Linked DNA regions of Ovis aries. The main gene of each other region encodes a partner of the protein of the gene in region 2 in a complex. Links are inferred from orthologs where the notes say so. Each region holds a gene or a part of one and is shown on either strand. Other genes may lie near its edges. The genes, in order: INSR and GRB14.

Region 1 (9,578 bases), on a different chromosome or scaffold from region 2:
CATAACGATCCTCGAGGAGTTTGTTCTAAATCCAGAGTCGGCAAACTTTCTCTGGAAAGGGCCCAAGTGTAAATATTGTTGGGAGCCACGCGATCACAACCGTTCAACTCTGCCCTTAGAGCACGAAAGCAGCGATAGAGGATGCGTGAACCAACGGGCATGGCGGCGTGCCAATAAAACTTTATTTACAAAAACAGGCGTGGGCGGGCAGGGTTCGACCCCTGTTCTAAAGACTTTGACCACATATAAATTAACAAGTGAGCGTAAGAGAGAGAGTCAGAGTAGGGAATGGCCGTCAATGAAGGCCAAGATAATAAGCCCGGAAAAGGAGCAGAGGAAAAGAAGAGAGAGAATGGGAGGAGCCAGGGACAGGTGAAAACTCACCAGGAGAGGGGAAGCAAAACCCAGAGAAGTCAGCTGGGGTGAGGCTGCCATTGGTAGGTGAGGAATGACTTTGGTTAGCACCATGGGCAAAGCAATGGAGACACAAGCCAGATGCTGTGGGCAGAGCAGTGGGTGAAAGGTGAGAGAGCAAGGGTGATGAGTGCCCATCAGCGGTTGGGGGAGGCTTGACAGAGGAAGGCAAAAGGTGGGTGGTGGGTACCGGGGTCCTGGGGAGTATTGAGTGTTTATAGGCTGAAAAGAAAAAGGCTTCTGGGTGGATGGAGATCCCTGAACAGAGGGGAGAGAGGAGGGGACCTAAGTGGATAAGTGTCCTGCATACTAAGTCACTTCAGTCGTGTCTGACTCTTTATGACCCCATCGACTGCAGCTTGGCAGGGTCTTCTGTCCATGAGATTTCCCAGGCAAGCATACTGGAGCAGGTTGCCATGCCTTCCTCCAGGGGAGCTTCCTGATCCAGGGATTGAACCCACACCTCATGTGTCCCCTGCATTGGCAGGTAGGTTCTTTACCACTAGCACCAAAAGCAGTGGTTCTCAATCAGAGGACAGTTGGTGGTGTCTGCAGACACTTTTTAGTGGTCATGACTTGGAGAGGGGCGTTGCTACTGGTCAGAGACCGCAGACAGTGAGCAACATCTTAAGATACACAAGACAGCCCCCTGCAACCAAGAACTATCCAACCTCATAGATCAAGAGCACAGAAATTGAGAAGGTCTATTCTAGCCAAAAAATAAAGGATGTCAATGAGGAAGTGGAGTGAGGTGGGGGCCCATGGGGTGAGGCTCGCCCCCAGTGACCTCTATGAATGAGCAGGGCAGGGTCGAGAGGCAGGTCACCAGGAGGGAAGCAAAGACTAGGAAGAACCTCAGAGAACTGACCCAGAGAGCAGAAGTTCTGATCTGAGGGTCCCAGAGTGCACCAGAGAACCACAAGAGAAACACTAGATTCCACCTCGAGATGTAAGGGGATCCAAAAGCAACATCTAGCACCTCAACTCATCAATTCACTGCCCCTGCCAAGATTCAGTTTCCACTATAATTAATCCCACTTTGCCTTCATTCTCTGACTTTGCAGTGCTCCTGGGTCATCTCGGGCCAGAGTGGGTCAACCCAAGGAGACATGGGAGGGAAAACCACTGCCCAGTTCAGCCAAGCCACAGAGACTCCACAGGGGGGATGAAATGGGCTGGCCCATCCCATGTGACATCGAGGAGAGAGTCCTCAGTCCTTCAAAATCCCACTGATCTCCATCGACCCCACCCCCACCCCAGACAGAATGCCACACTGCTTGCTGCTGGAGATTAACCAACGATCCGGAAAGTTCCTTGCCCCTCCCCAAACCTCCGAAGGGCATCACATGTCATTTATTCGAGAGTATTTTGTTAACCTTTATACCACAGGGGTTAGGGCGGGGAGGCTCAGAGTCCCAAGAAGAACCTTCTGTTAAGAAACCTTTTATTAACAAACCGGAGTTCTCATCTCAGCACTGCCACCTCATCCAAGTTCCTCACCTTCGAAATGGATGATAAACCTTACCTCGGAGGGCTGTGGTGAGGATTAATCGAGATTATCAATGCCGAGTGTGTAGAATTTGCTTGTATTTGTGTCAGCTAGGTTTTATCTGAAGAATAAAGGAGCCATGACTTGGACTCCTGGGAAGAACAGGAAGGACAGGAGTTGGATCTAGAACAAATATTTAGGACTTCCCTGGTGGTCCAAGGGCGACAAATCCTCCTGCCAATGCTGAGGACAGGGGTTCGACCTCTGGTATGGGAAGACCACATGTGCTGCAGAGCAGCTAAGCCCGAGTGCCACAGCTGCTGAGCCTGCACTCTGGGGCCAGGGAGCCACAACTATTGAGCACACGAGCCACAACTACTGAAGCCGCGTGCCCTGGAGCCCGGTCTCCACAACAAGAGAAGCCGCTGGAATGAGAAGCCCATCCCATGCACAGCAACTACAGAGTAGCCTCGATCCTCACACCTAGAGAAAAGCCCAGCACAGCAATGAAGACCCAGCACGGTCAAAATAAATAAATGTATCAAGCATCTCCTAGGTGTCAGGGGCTGCTCTAGACTCTGGAACTGTGGCAGTGAACAGAGAAACATAAGCCTCTCCCTCGTGGAAGCTATAAACATGCAAGAAGTGGCAAATCCATCCACTGACCCCTGAAAGTGAAAGTCGATCAGTCGTATCGGACTCTTTGGGACCCCATGGACTGTATGTAGCCCACCAGGCTCCTCTGTCCATGAGATTCTCTGGGCAAGAATACTGGAGTGGATAGCCATTCCCCTCTCCAGGGGATCTTCCCGATCCAGGGATCAAACCCAGGCTCCTACAGGCAGATTCTTTACCATCTGAGCCACCAGGAAAGCCAGCCCAGGCACAAATCCACCATTAATTCCTAAAGCTACCAGGAACAGAGGAGCAAGGAACTGCATGCATATACAGATGTGCACCCACACACAGACACACACGGGCATGGACACACAAAGCCGGACACAGATCTAACAGCTGGTCTGGGTTTTTGTGTGTGTGTGTGTGTGTGTTTTTTTTCTAACAAGAGCCTAAATCCACTGCTACCCTTCCTTGGAGGAGCACTCACTGTATACCAGGCACTTGGGTGCTTGGAGACGTTGCCTAATTGGCAAAGGTGCTCCACAAACCCGGTTTGTCAACTCCAGAGCCCCCACGTGCTTTCTCGTGCATCCCCACTCACCGACAGGCAACTCAGGAACTTCTGTTCCTTCCCTGCCTGACCCCTTCCTCATCGGGACTGATTTCCTTTTATGGAGAAATCTGAAGAAGTAACCCAACACATATTTTGAAAGCAGGGCCTCCGCCATCATGGTGGGAAACCCCAGTTATATTCTCTTCAAGGATTTTCCATCCTTGACCTGCAGCCAGAAAGACGTGCTGTCAAGCCCAAGGAAAATGCTGGGACTTACCCCTCTCCCCATACCAGGGAGCTGCTAGCCCAGGGACACTCATGAGGGAGAATTGGAAGGGAGAGGGGGCAAGGTGCTGGGCTGACCACAGATTAGAGACCTGCCCAGCTGACAGGTAAAAAGGTAGAGGAGGGAGGTTACCAGGGGTTCCTGGGGCGTGGGCAGCTGGGCAGAGCCCTGGGCAGAGCCAGAGAGGTTTGTCTTCTCTCTAGCTCTGATTCTGGGGCAAGTGAATTCTGTGTCCTTCCTGAGCCTCAGTTTACTCCTCTATGAAATGGACCAACAACAGTATCAGCCTCCACGGGCTGCTGCAGAGATCCAGACAGATAAGACCGGCCAGCCCGAGGCATCTGGTGACACCAGCTATAATAATCATAAAAGCCAACACTACTGCTACTACAGCTGCGCTGTTGCCAAGGGCTAGAGCTTGCCTCCGACATCTGGAAACAGAATTCCAGAGTATAAACATGGACCTGAAGTCAGGGGTAGCCGTGGGTCTAGATACCAGAAAGAAAGGGGCGGGTTCTACACTTCCTCGGCCCCTGGGGGAGCGTCACCAAGCTGCTGGGATCTCAAGGGACCACCCTGCCTTCAGTCAGTCACCCTCGATTCTCACTCCAAACCGTCTGTGCCCGGGGCATTTGGCTGTGTGAGAGTGTCCGATGACCCTACTTCTCGGAGGCGACCCAGAGAGGACGTGTGTCCCGTCTCTGGAGCCAGGTGGTGGGCTCAGAGAGGCCCAGACACGGGGGTTCGAGGAGCGCTCTCGGGAGAGGCGCCCGCGGAGGGGCGGGCACTAGGGCAAGGTTCCTCCAGCCCCGGGCCGCATGCGGGTCGTGGAACCGCTAGCCCAGGCGGGCAAAGGCCAAGGTCAGCGGCTTCCCGCCCCCCGCGAGGCCGGAGAAACCGTCCGAGCCACCAGCCCTCCGACGGAGGACGGCACTCCGTCCACAACGGGGGGTGGTTCCATTTTGGCAAAGGGTCCCCTCCCCACCCGCGCGGCTTCCCGCCCGCTCCGGGACCCCCCAGACTCACCTTCTCCAGGGTACAGGTGGCCCGCGGCGCCCACCAGCAGCGCGGCGACGACCACCAGCAGCAGCACGGCTGCCGCCCCGCTCCCGCCCCCGGCGCCCATGGCTGAAGGATCAGAGCGCGGGGCGCTGGCTGGCGGGGTGCATGCTCCGAGGCGGCCGCCCCAGAGGCGCTGGGGGTCGCGCGTCCTTCTCTTCCACGCGGGCAGCCCAAGGTCCCGCAGCCTGCGCCCGGGAGGACTCTAGATACGGCCCCGGGAGGGGCGCGCGGCCTCCGCTGCTACGAATCCGGCAGCGCGGCCGGGTGGAGACGGTCCCGACTCCGGGCCCCCGCGGCCCGCGCCCCCGTCCCGACGATCTCAGGGCCCGGAGCCCCGCGCTGCGCCCCCCTGACTCTAGGCTCTTGGCCCCGAGCGCTCCGGAGCTCCGATCTTCGGACGCGCGGACAAACGGACGTGCGGACAGGCGGGCGGGCACCTGGGCTGGCGGGTGGCGGGCAGGCGGCGGGAGCCAGGGCTGCTCGGCCCGTAAACAACGCGGCCCGTCAGCTGGGCCCCGTTCGGGCCGCGGGAAAAGGCGGCGCGGATCTGGGCTCGGAAGGGACTCGGCGCCCGGCAGAGGCCCGAGAGGGGTGGAAGGAGGACGGGCAGGGGGGAGGCGCCGCCCCGCCCGCCCGCCGGTCTCCCTATCCTGGGCCCCGCGCTGGAGGCCCCCGTCGCGCCGTAGCCGAGGGGGCGCCCTAGATGCCTGCCCAGCCCCAGCGCCCCGTACAGCCCCAGGACTCCTGTCTCAGAGCCCGGGAGCGCCCCAGATTGACCAACTCAGCAAGTCGGATCGCGTGTTTAAAACATTTTGCTAGTTTGTTCTTCGTGGGACTTTAGAAAATTCATTTTTATTTTTTTAAATATTGCATTAAAATATTGTTTATCGTGGTTACTCGGCTTTTTGGTACTCCCTTAAATGTTGCGTTCACCTTCCCCTCGTCACAGTCTGGCCAGTGAGTATGGCCCTCGAGCGCCCCGGATGTCCTACCCCAGAGTGCGCCCCCGCCCAGAGCCAGGCCCCTGGGGACAGCCACGTGCACGAGCGTGCCGCGTGCGCTCAAGTATTGGGTAGCCTGGCCCCTCCGCACGATGCGTGGTTCAAGGTGGAGAAATGACCCTTAGGAGAAAGTGTAGAAACTAGCAAAAAAAAAAAAAAGTGCAAACCAGGCGCTGGAGATCTTCGGTAGAACACAGGTGGACACACCCAAGTTTCAATGCGCAGACCCAGAGTCCGTGTGTGTTTGAACGTCAGTCACGTGACAGTGGCCACCCCGCCTGCTGAAGAGGGGCCTTAAGCACAGAGAAGCCAGAACGGAGTGAGAATCTGCTTGAATGAGTAATTTTTCTCTCTCTCGATGGGCCTCATCTGTATGATGCACGTAAGGACACCTTCAGGTCAGATTTGGTGAGTTGTAAGGGCTTCCCGGAGAAGGCGATGGCACCCCACTCCAGTACTCTTGCCTGGAAAACCCCATGGAGGGAGGAGCCTGGTAGGCTGCAGTCCATGGGGTCCCTAAGACTCGGACAGGACTGAGCGACTTCACTTTCACTTTTCACCTTCATGGATTGGAGAAGGAAATGGCAACCCACTCCAGTGTTCTTGCCTGGAGAGTCCCAGGGACAGGGGAGCCTGGTGGGCTGCCGACTATGGGGTCGCACAGAGTCAGACACGACTGAAGCGACTTAGCAGCAGTAGCAGCAGCAGCAGCAAGGGCTTCCCAGGTTGCTCAGTGGTAAAGAATTTGCCCACCAATGCAGGAGACGCAGGTTAGATTCCTGGGTCAGGAAGATCCCCTGGAGGAGGAAATGGTAGCCCACTCCAGTATTCTTGCCTGGAAAATCCCATGGGTAGAGGCAGGCTACAGTCCATGGAGTCGCAAAGAGTTCGACATGACTGAGCTCGTGTGCATACACACACACACACACACACACACACACACACACACAACGGAGCACGCACACGCATGCACACACACAGTCTCCCAGGGGAAATAAAGCATGACAAAGCACCCAGAACAACTGTTGGCTGAGGGCATTCATTCTTCCTTTCATCTATTAAACAAATATTAGTTTGCCAGTAGATGGGCCCACTGTTCTTCTAACTCAAGTCTATTCCTGCCTCCCCTGTCCTTCTGGTGTCTGGCTCCACTTGTCTGTTCCAGTGAGCCTTCCCTGACCAACTTTGCAAACACTCCCTGTCCCCTCCTCCATTTGTTCCTGTCCAGACAGCACGCTGGTGTCTCTACCTGAAATTCTGACTTATTGTGTGTATTCACCCCTCCCCAGGAAGGCAGAAATCTTGTCCATCATGTTCAGTATTTTACACCCAGTGACTGACATATCCATTGCTTAATAAATATTTGTTGAGCGGAAAAATCAACATGCAGTAAGCAGTGGGGATTCGCAGGGAGCCAAATAAACACCATTCATTTCCTTGTAGACCTCACAACCCAGTGTAAGGAGAAAGCCATTAAGTCGCACATCAGATGTTTTATAAGGTGAGGTGGGGAGAGGCAGAAGGATTCTCCAAAGAGGTGATTTTGAACTGAAATCTGAGGAGAGAGAGCCAGCCCAGGGAAGCATCAAGAAAATGTTCCAGGTGGAGGGAACGGCGTGTGCAAAGGCCCAGAGGACAGGCCAGTGTTCTCACAACTGAGCCAGGCACTGTAGCTGGAGAAAAGAAAGCAAAGAAAGAAAAGGGGAAGGCTGGGCTGGTAGGCGAGACTAAAAGGGATATACCATGTATGGGTTGTCTTCAACACACCCTTTATCCTAAAAGCAACAAGGATGCATTAAAGGGTTTATACCAAAGGGTTGGGCTTCCCTGGTGGCTCAGACAATAAAGAATCTGCCTTCAATGCAGGAGACCCAGGTTGGACCCTGGGTCTGGAAGATCCCCTGCAGAAGGGAATGGCTACCCACTCCAGTATTCTTGCCTGGAAAATCCCATGGACAGAGGAGCCTGGCATGCTACAGTCCATGGGGTTGCAAAGAGTCAGACACAACTGAGCGACTGAAGTCAACTGACTGAAAAGCCACCAACAATTTCAAGCAGGTGGCATTTGCTAAAATTCCAAGGGACATACTGCCCTCTGGAAATCCTTCAGGATGCAAGACCTCCACATAAAGCTGGGTATAAAGTCAGAAGAATCGTTGTAGTTGTGGCTTACTGGGAGAAAATGAAGACACCTCCACTTCCAGAAGAAAAAAAGCTCATTATTTCTTCTGTAAGCTACCCCCGCACCCCCTCAAAAAAAATACCAGGATATAAAAAATGAAAGTCAACCTCTGCCTCTTCTTAAAAGCATTGGAATGAAAGTAGAAAATCACCATTTGCTAATTTCCAAAATAATTGATTCTGGCAAGAGCCATCAATGAACGTTAAAAGTGATGGTTGGAAGCTTGAAAAGTAATGGGGTATTTCCATGGTCTGCAAGTATCTCTTCGCAGCATGTTTGTCCAAAAAAAGAAAAATGGTAGCTTTGTGAAAGAAAAATCTGGCTTAACAAAATGATCAAAGTTACTCCTGGATTTTCTTTTGCAATAAAATAAATTATTGGGACAGTGGGAAAGATTGAAAAGAGTCTATCAGTTCCACAGTGATACTCTATCAATATTAATTTTGATCCTTTTACTGAAGTGATGTAACAGAATGTCCTTGGCTTTAGGTAATAAACATCAGATGAAGTGTGTAGGGGTTAAGGAACATAATATCTGCAACTTATTCTCAAATGGTTCAGAAAAAAAGAGAAAGAGACAGAGAAAGAACAAAGCAGGTGTGATTTTTAAAAGTGTGATGAAATTGGTTAATCTGATAAACTGTGCATATAAGGATTAATTGCACTATTTGTGCAACTTTTCTGGACGTCTGGGCAGGTATGTACTCAGTTGCTCAGTCGTATCTGACTCTGTGACCTCATGAACTGTAGCCCGCCAGGCTCCTCTGTTCATTGGATTTTCCAGGCAAGAATACTGGAGTGGGTTGCCATTCCCTCCTCCAGGGGATCTTCCCAACCCAGGGATTTAACCCACATCTCCTAAGTCTCCTGCATTGGCAGGCAGATTCTTTACCACTGAGGAAGTCTGCTGCTGCTGCTGCTAAGTCGCTTCAGTCGTGTCCGACTCTGTGCGACCCCATAGGAAGTCTGACATCATGTCAAAATTATTGATAAAAGCTTTAATAGTTTTGAAAAACCACTTGGGACTTTCGTTTTGGCTTTGTTTTTCTTACGTTGGCTTTGGTCTGACATTTGAACACATACCATACTTGAAGACATGATGGAAAGAGAGAGATCATTTCACGGTTCATGAGTATAAACACCAAATACTGTACTTTCGTTATGCATCAAGGAGGGCTTGGAGAGATACCACCACCACCTTGCTGGGGTCTTCCTTTAGCAAGTCTCTTTGGGACAATCTCCCTCAGTCTTGCGTTATGTTATGTTAAAGTTTTCCGTTATGTTAAAGCAGGAAGCCCAGTGTAAATCCTGACTCCTGTGTTGTCATGGAAACCTGCTTTAATAGAGTACATTTAGGAGTAGAGGGGGAAACTACAGATGGATCTGCCTTTCGGGTAACAGTGCAAAAACCCAGCAGTGAGAATTTACTAACAGAACTAGGCGGAAGCTTGCACGAACATGACACCCACACCAGGATCAAGTGGAACTTGGGCCAGAAGGGCGACGGTGGTTCAGCACTAGGAAGTCTAGTCATCAAGATCACCGTCTTCATTGATTCGGGGTACGTGAGCATCTCTATGCTACTAAAACTGTATTTTATGGAACTTCGCTGGTGGTTCAGTAGCTAAGACTCCACGCTCCCAATGTAGGAAGCCCAGGTTCAATCCCTGTTCAGGGAACTAGATGCCACATGGCACAGCTAAAGATCCTGCATGCTGCAACAAAGATCCAAGATCCAGAGAGCTGCACTGAAGGCCTGCTGCAGTCAAACCAATAAATAAGTACTTTGAGATGCATTTGATGAATTCCATAGCCGCTCAAAAAAGAAAGCATAAGACTCTGCAATATGGAAATTTTGTTTTATAATTGCAAAGTAGGGAACATCTCTTCAAGCAAGATGCAAATCGAAAATCTAAAAATAACAAATCTGGCTATGTAAACACTGAGTTATATGAATAGTGAAATAAAATCCT
Region 2 (4,109 bases):
GATTCTGTAGGCTCTTTGACTCAAAATTTTGTGCCTCTATGTAGTACTACAGATTTCTCACAGGCTGGGGATTAGCAAACCCTGGGCGTCGGCAGTGGTTGGTGCCACGGGGTGTGTGTGTGTGTGTGTGTGTGTGTGTGTGTGTGTTGGGGGTCACACAGATATGGAGCAGGGGGGTTGCCAGTGTCTTTAGAAGGCAGTGTTTGCCTTTCCCTGGCAGAGGTTGTGAAGGTTAAGAAAACCTGGTTAACAGAAGCCAGGGACAGATGTTACCTAATTTGGTCAAAGAACAAAGAGTGTATAAAACATTTGGAAACCCGGAACAGTGCACTGGGATGGGGCACTTATTGGAAGAGCAGAAACAGATTTACCACTCAGAATTCAGAGTAGGGCGACTGCATCTCAGGTGAGCATAATGTAATTACCACTTCAAGCAGTCTGGATTTGGGGCATGGAATCTTTTGGGTTGGAAGCTTCACTGCACTACTTCACTAGCCCTGTCTTGTACCAGGTACTCCATGACTTGGAGCCTCAATTCCCTTATCTGTAAAACGGGGTAAACGTCTAATTTATGAGGCCGTTGTGAGGTAGAACGCGACTAGGCAGAGTAGGGGCTCATTCGATGGGAGCTGCTCTTATCAGAAGAAAATGAATAATTTTCCTAATTCCTAAGAGGTCAGGTTTACTCATACCTTACTCAGAATTCTCAAACATCTCCGTAGTTTTCGGCACCGATTGTACTGCCTGTTCCCCGTCCACCCCTTCTCCCTCGCCGGTGTCCTCAGCTGCAGAGTGGAAGCAAGAGGCACGTGGGGGAAAGACTGGGACAAACCTGGTCCCCCGCTCTCCTGGCACGGTGGGCCTGTCATGGCGGCCCAGCGACAGCTCTCCAATAGCAGAGCAAGAAGAATGAAAGGTCTAGGGGGTCAGGGCTGCCCAGACCCCTGCCCCGCCTGCGCTCTGCCAGGCTAGCCCCGAGGGAGCGCCCGATCACATGGATCCCGCCTCCCGCGACGCGGATCCGCCCCGACCCCGGGCTCAGCCTCGCGCTCCGGCGCCCACCTGGGGAGCCCGGGGCCCGAGCCTCGAGGGCCGGCAGTCAGGGGCGCGGGCCCCCAGCCAGCGCCCCCCAGCGCCACGGACCGCGAGCGGGGCCCGCCCGGCGCCCTCCCCGCCCCCTCCGCGCCTCGCCCCGCCGCCCGCGGCCCCCACCCACCCGCCGCTCCTCCCCTCTCCCCACCCTCCTCCTCCGCCCCCTCCCCTCCCCCGCCGCCTCGCCTACCGCTCGGCCGAGCGTCTGAGCCGCCCTGGTCCAGAGCGCAGGCGGCGAGGCCACCGCACCTGCAGCGCGCTCGGGCTGCCGAACCGGCACCTCGCCTCCCGCCGCCGGATCTCCTTCTACCCCCACGCCGGGTCTCCCATGACGCCCGAGTCCCCCGGCCGGCGACAATGACCACTTCCCTGCAAGATGGGCAGAGCGCCGCGGGTCGGGCGGCTGCCCGGGACTCGCCGCTGGCCGCCCAGGTGTGCGGCGCTGCCCAGGGGAGGGGCGACGCCCGCGACCTGGCGCCGGGCCCCTGGCTGCACGCGCGGGCACTCCTGCCCCCTCCGGACGCGACCCGCGGCTGTGCGGCAGACAGGTAGGCAGCCCTCGGAGGGCGCGGGGGAGTGTCCTGGGTTGGCAGCCGGCGAGGGGTGAGGAGGCGGTCCTAGGGGGTGAGCCATGTGCCCAGATCTGGGCCAAGTTTGAGAAAGTCTCAGAAGACAATTCCCTTTGAGCTGGCAGAACCTACCGGATGGGCAGGACATTGCGATCTCCCAGCGCCTTATAAATAGCATCACCGATTCATTGAGAGCTCCGGGTCGCTCTCGCCTCTGACCATCGATGTGAACTAGGAGGCCAGGCTCCAGGCTGACCACCCTCCTTCCTTCTTTACTGCGTTAAAAAACAAAATAATCCCTTTTATATATTATAAAAAAATCAGAATAAATCAGTTCGCCTCCCACATGGAGTCTTAGAGCGACCCTGGAGAGGCAAAGTACGGATTGACATTTGAGCAGTCTAGCTGTTCAGCAGGAAAGAATAGAGGCTTTAAAGTGTTTCCCAATCTCCATAGCATTCAGCCCTAAGTGCCTGTAGAATTCACAATTTCACACATACTTTAGGAAAGAAAAAGGCTGCAACAATACAAAAATCAATAGTCCTTTATATTCATACATTTAAATGATGTCTTTTTTTTTTTTTTTCTTCAGATTTTCAAAGTGCTTCAACTTCACTGAAGTTAAAATTACTCTGCAGTGGACCAAAGTACATTAATACTAGCAAGTTCTATTCATTTACCTCCTCAAAAACACTGCCTTGCAGTTTAGTATCTATAAGCACTTGAAAAATCAGCAGACTGTGTGTGGGCCACATTGTGAATGAAATTTGAAGTGAGATGAACCACAGCTATAATTAATAAACCATAACTTTCAAAAGTGATTAGTAGAATAGAATAGGGATGAGTTCACTAAATGTTTATAGACTGTCAATTTAGTGGATGCAAAACAATGTCTAACTCCTCAGGATGATTTTTACTTCAATAATTCTCTAGTCTGTATGTCAGTTTCAGGAAAATTATCAGAAGTGCTGGAAATGGGGCTTCCAGGCCTGGTGATTTTCTTTTTAAAGGCCAAAAGAAAAGAAAGGAAGAAAGGAATGCAAAAGGAGATTGATTTATATCAATTGACATGTTTTATTCTGACCCACAGAAAGTACACCACAGACTTTTCCTGTATACTTTACATTAGTATTGTCACAGAGTGGGGCATTCTGGCCTTAACTTTTTAATCCTGACAGCAATTATATTTTACATTCTGTTTTATGTAAATTACATCCTATGTTCTCTCCGTGTAGGAGAAAAAAGAAAGATCTTGATGTTCTGGAAATGCCATCTATTCCAAATCCTTTTCCTGAGCTATGCTGCTCTCCATTTACATCTGTGTTGTCAGCAGGCCTGTTTCCCAAAGCAAATTCAAGGAAAAAACAGGTATGCATTTTAAAATGTTCTAATTAAACAATCTTAGAAGTTCTATATCCATATAATCTTTAAGATAGTAACTTACAATATTAGCAAAAGGTTAGCATGGCCTATTTTAAATAGCTCTATTAACTGACATAGTTCTTTGCCATTAGTTCCCTTTAGGGTCTCACTTTTCACATCTGTATAGTGGGTACATTAAAACATACCCATCAGGCTTTTGGAATGGATTAAATGAAAGAATATATGTGAAGTACAGAGCCTAGGAGCTATTATTATTCACATTGTAACTGGAGAGTTATATATGATAACAACTGATCAATTTTAACTCAGAAACTGGAAGAGCTGGTAGTGATTTAGAGGGAGAAGGGAATTGACCGGTTCTTTTAATACCTTCTTTAATCTTTCATATTTTCAACCCAAGCCAAACTTATTTACTAAAGGAAATTGATTATGGTGAATCTGTGGTGAAAGGTAAATGGAGTTTTGGACTCCACAGGTTTTCTTTCATTTCAGCGAATTCCTCAGTTTGGAAGTTTCTGACTGCAGAAGACAGATGACTTGTAAGTGATGTTTAGCTTATGGACTTAATTTTTATGATTTTCTTTCAAGTTTCTAGTATGGAGCTGACTTGAGCAAATTAAACTTCAAGAACCAAGCAGCTGTGGGGAGATGCATCACAATTATAAAAAAAAAAAAGTGTTTCCTAGGTTAATCCCATCTCTTCTGAATATACTTCATTCTAGTCTTGAATCAGCAAACAAAGAGAAGCTTCACTATGTACCTTGTTCTTGCAAGGGTTGTTGTTCATAGTCGCTAAGTCGTGTCCAACTGTGACCCCATGTACTACAAACAGCACACTAGGCTACTCTGTCTTTTACTATTTCCCAGAATTTGCTCAAACCCATGACCACTGGGGGCTTCCCTAGTAGCTCAGTTGGTAAAGAATCCACCTGCAATGCAAGAGACCCCAGTTCAGTTCCTGGGTTGGGAAGATCCCCTGGAGAAGGGAACGGCCAGCCACTCCAGTATTCTGGCCTGGAGAATTCCACAGACTGTATAGTTCATGGGGTCGCAAAAACTCGGACA

What was found.
Region 1: the proteins of GRB14 (region 2) and INSR are in contact, whole or in part, in a crystal structure (PDB 2AUH), measured with the Homo sapiens proteins. The link is inferred for Ovis aries from reciprocal best matches to the Homo sapiens genes GRB14 and INSR. Residues at the interface, in NP_004481.2 of Homo sapiens: Glu373, Asn374, Ser375, Leu376, Val377, Ala378, Met379, Asp380, Phe381, Ser382, Ser386, Val388, Ile389, Glu394, Val398, Ala399, Glu401, Glu402, Gly403, Leu404, Trp406, Arg407; in NP_000199.2 of Homo sapiens: Leu1065, Arg1066, Ile1069, Glu1070, Lys1112, Arg1116, Arg1163, Met1180, Arg1182, Tyr1190, Lys1192, Gly1193, Gly1194, Lys1195, Gly1196, Leu1197, Leu1198, Pro1199, Val1200, Trp1202, Ser1207, Leu1208, Lys1209, Asp1210, Gly1211, Gln1235, Asn1242, Glu1243, Leu1246.

What each region holds. Positions count from the first base shown.
Region 1 is NC_056058.1:13,931,296-13,940,873, forward strand, and holds the start of INSR (insulin receptor), read right to left. Parts: upstream 4,972-9,578; 5' UTR 4,487-4,971; coding exon 4,387-4,486; intron 1-4,386. UniProt on the Homo sapiens protein: Receptor tyrosine kinase which mediates the pleiotropic actions of insulin.
Region 2 is NC_056055.1:144,978,769-144,982,877, forward strand, and holds the start of GRB14 (growth factor receptor-bound protein 14), read left to right. Parts: upstream 1-1,309; 5' UTR 1,310-1,449; coding exon 1,450-1,640; intron 1,641-2,896; coding exon 2,897-3,029; intron 3,030-4,109. UniProt on the Homo sapiens protein: Adapter protein which modulates coupling of cell surface receptor kinases with specific signaling pathways. Binds to, and suppresses signals from, the activated insulin receptor (INSR). Potent inhibitor of insulin-stimulated MAPK3 phosphorylation.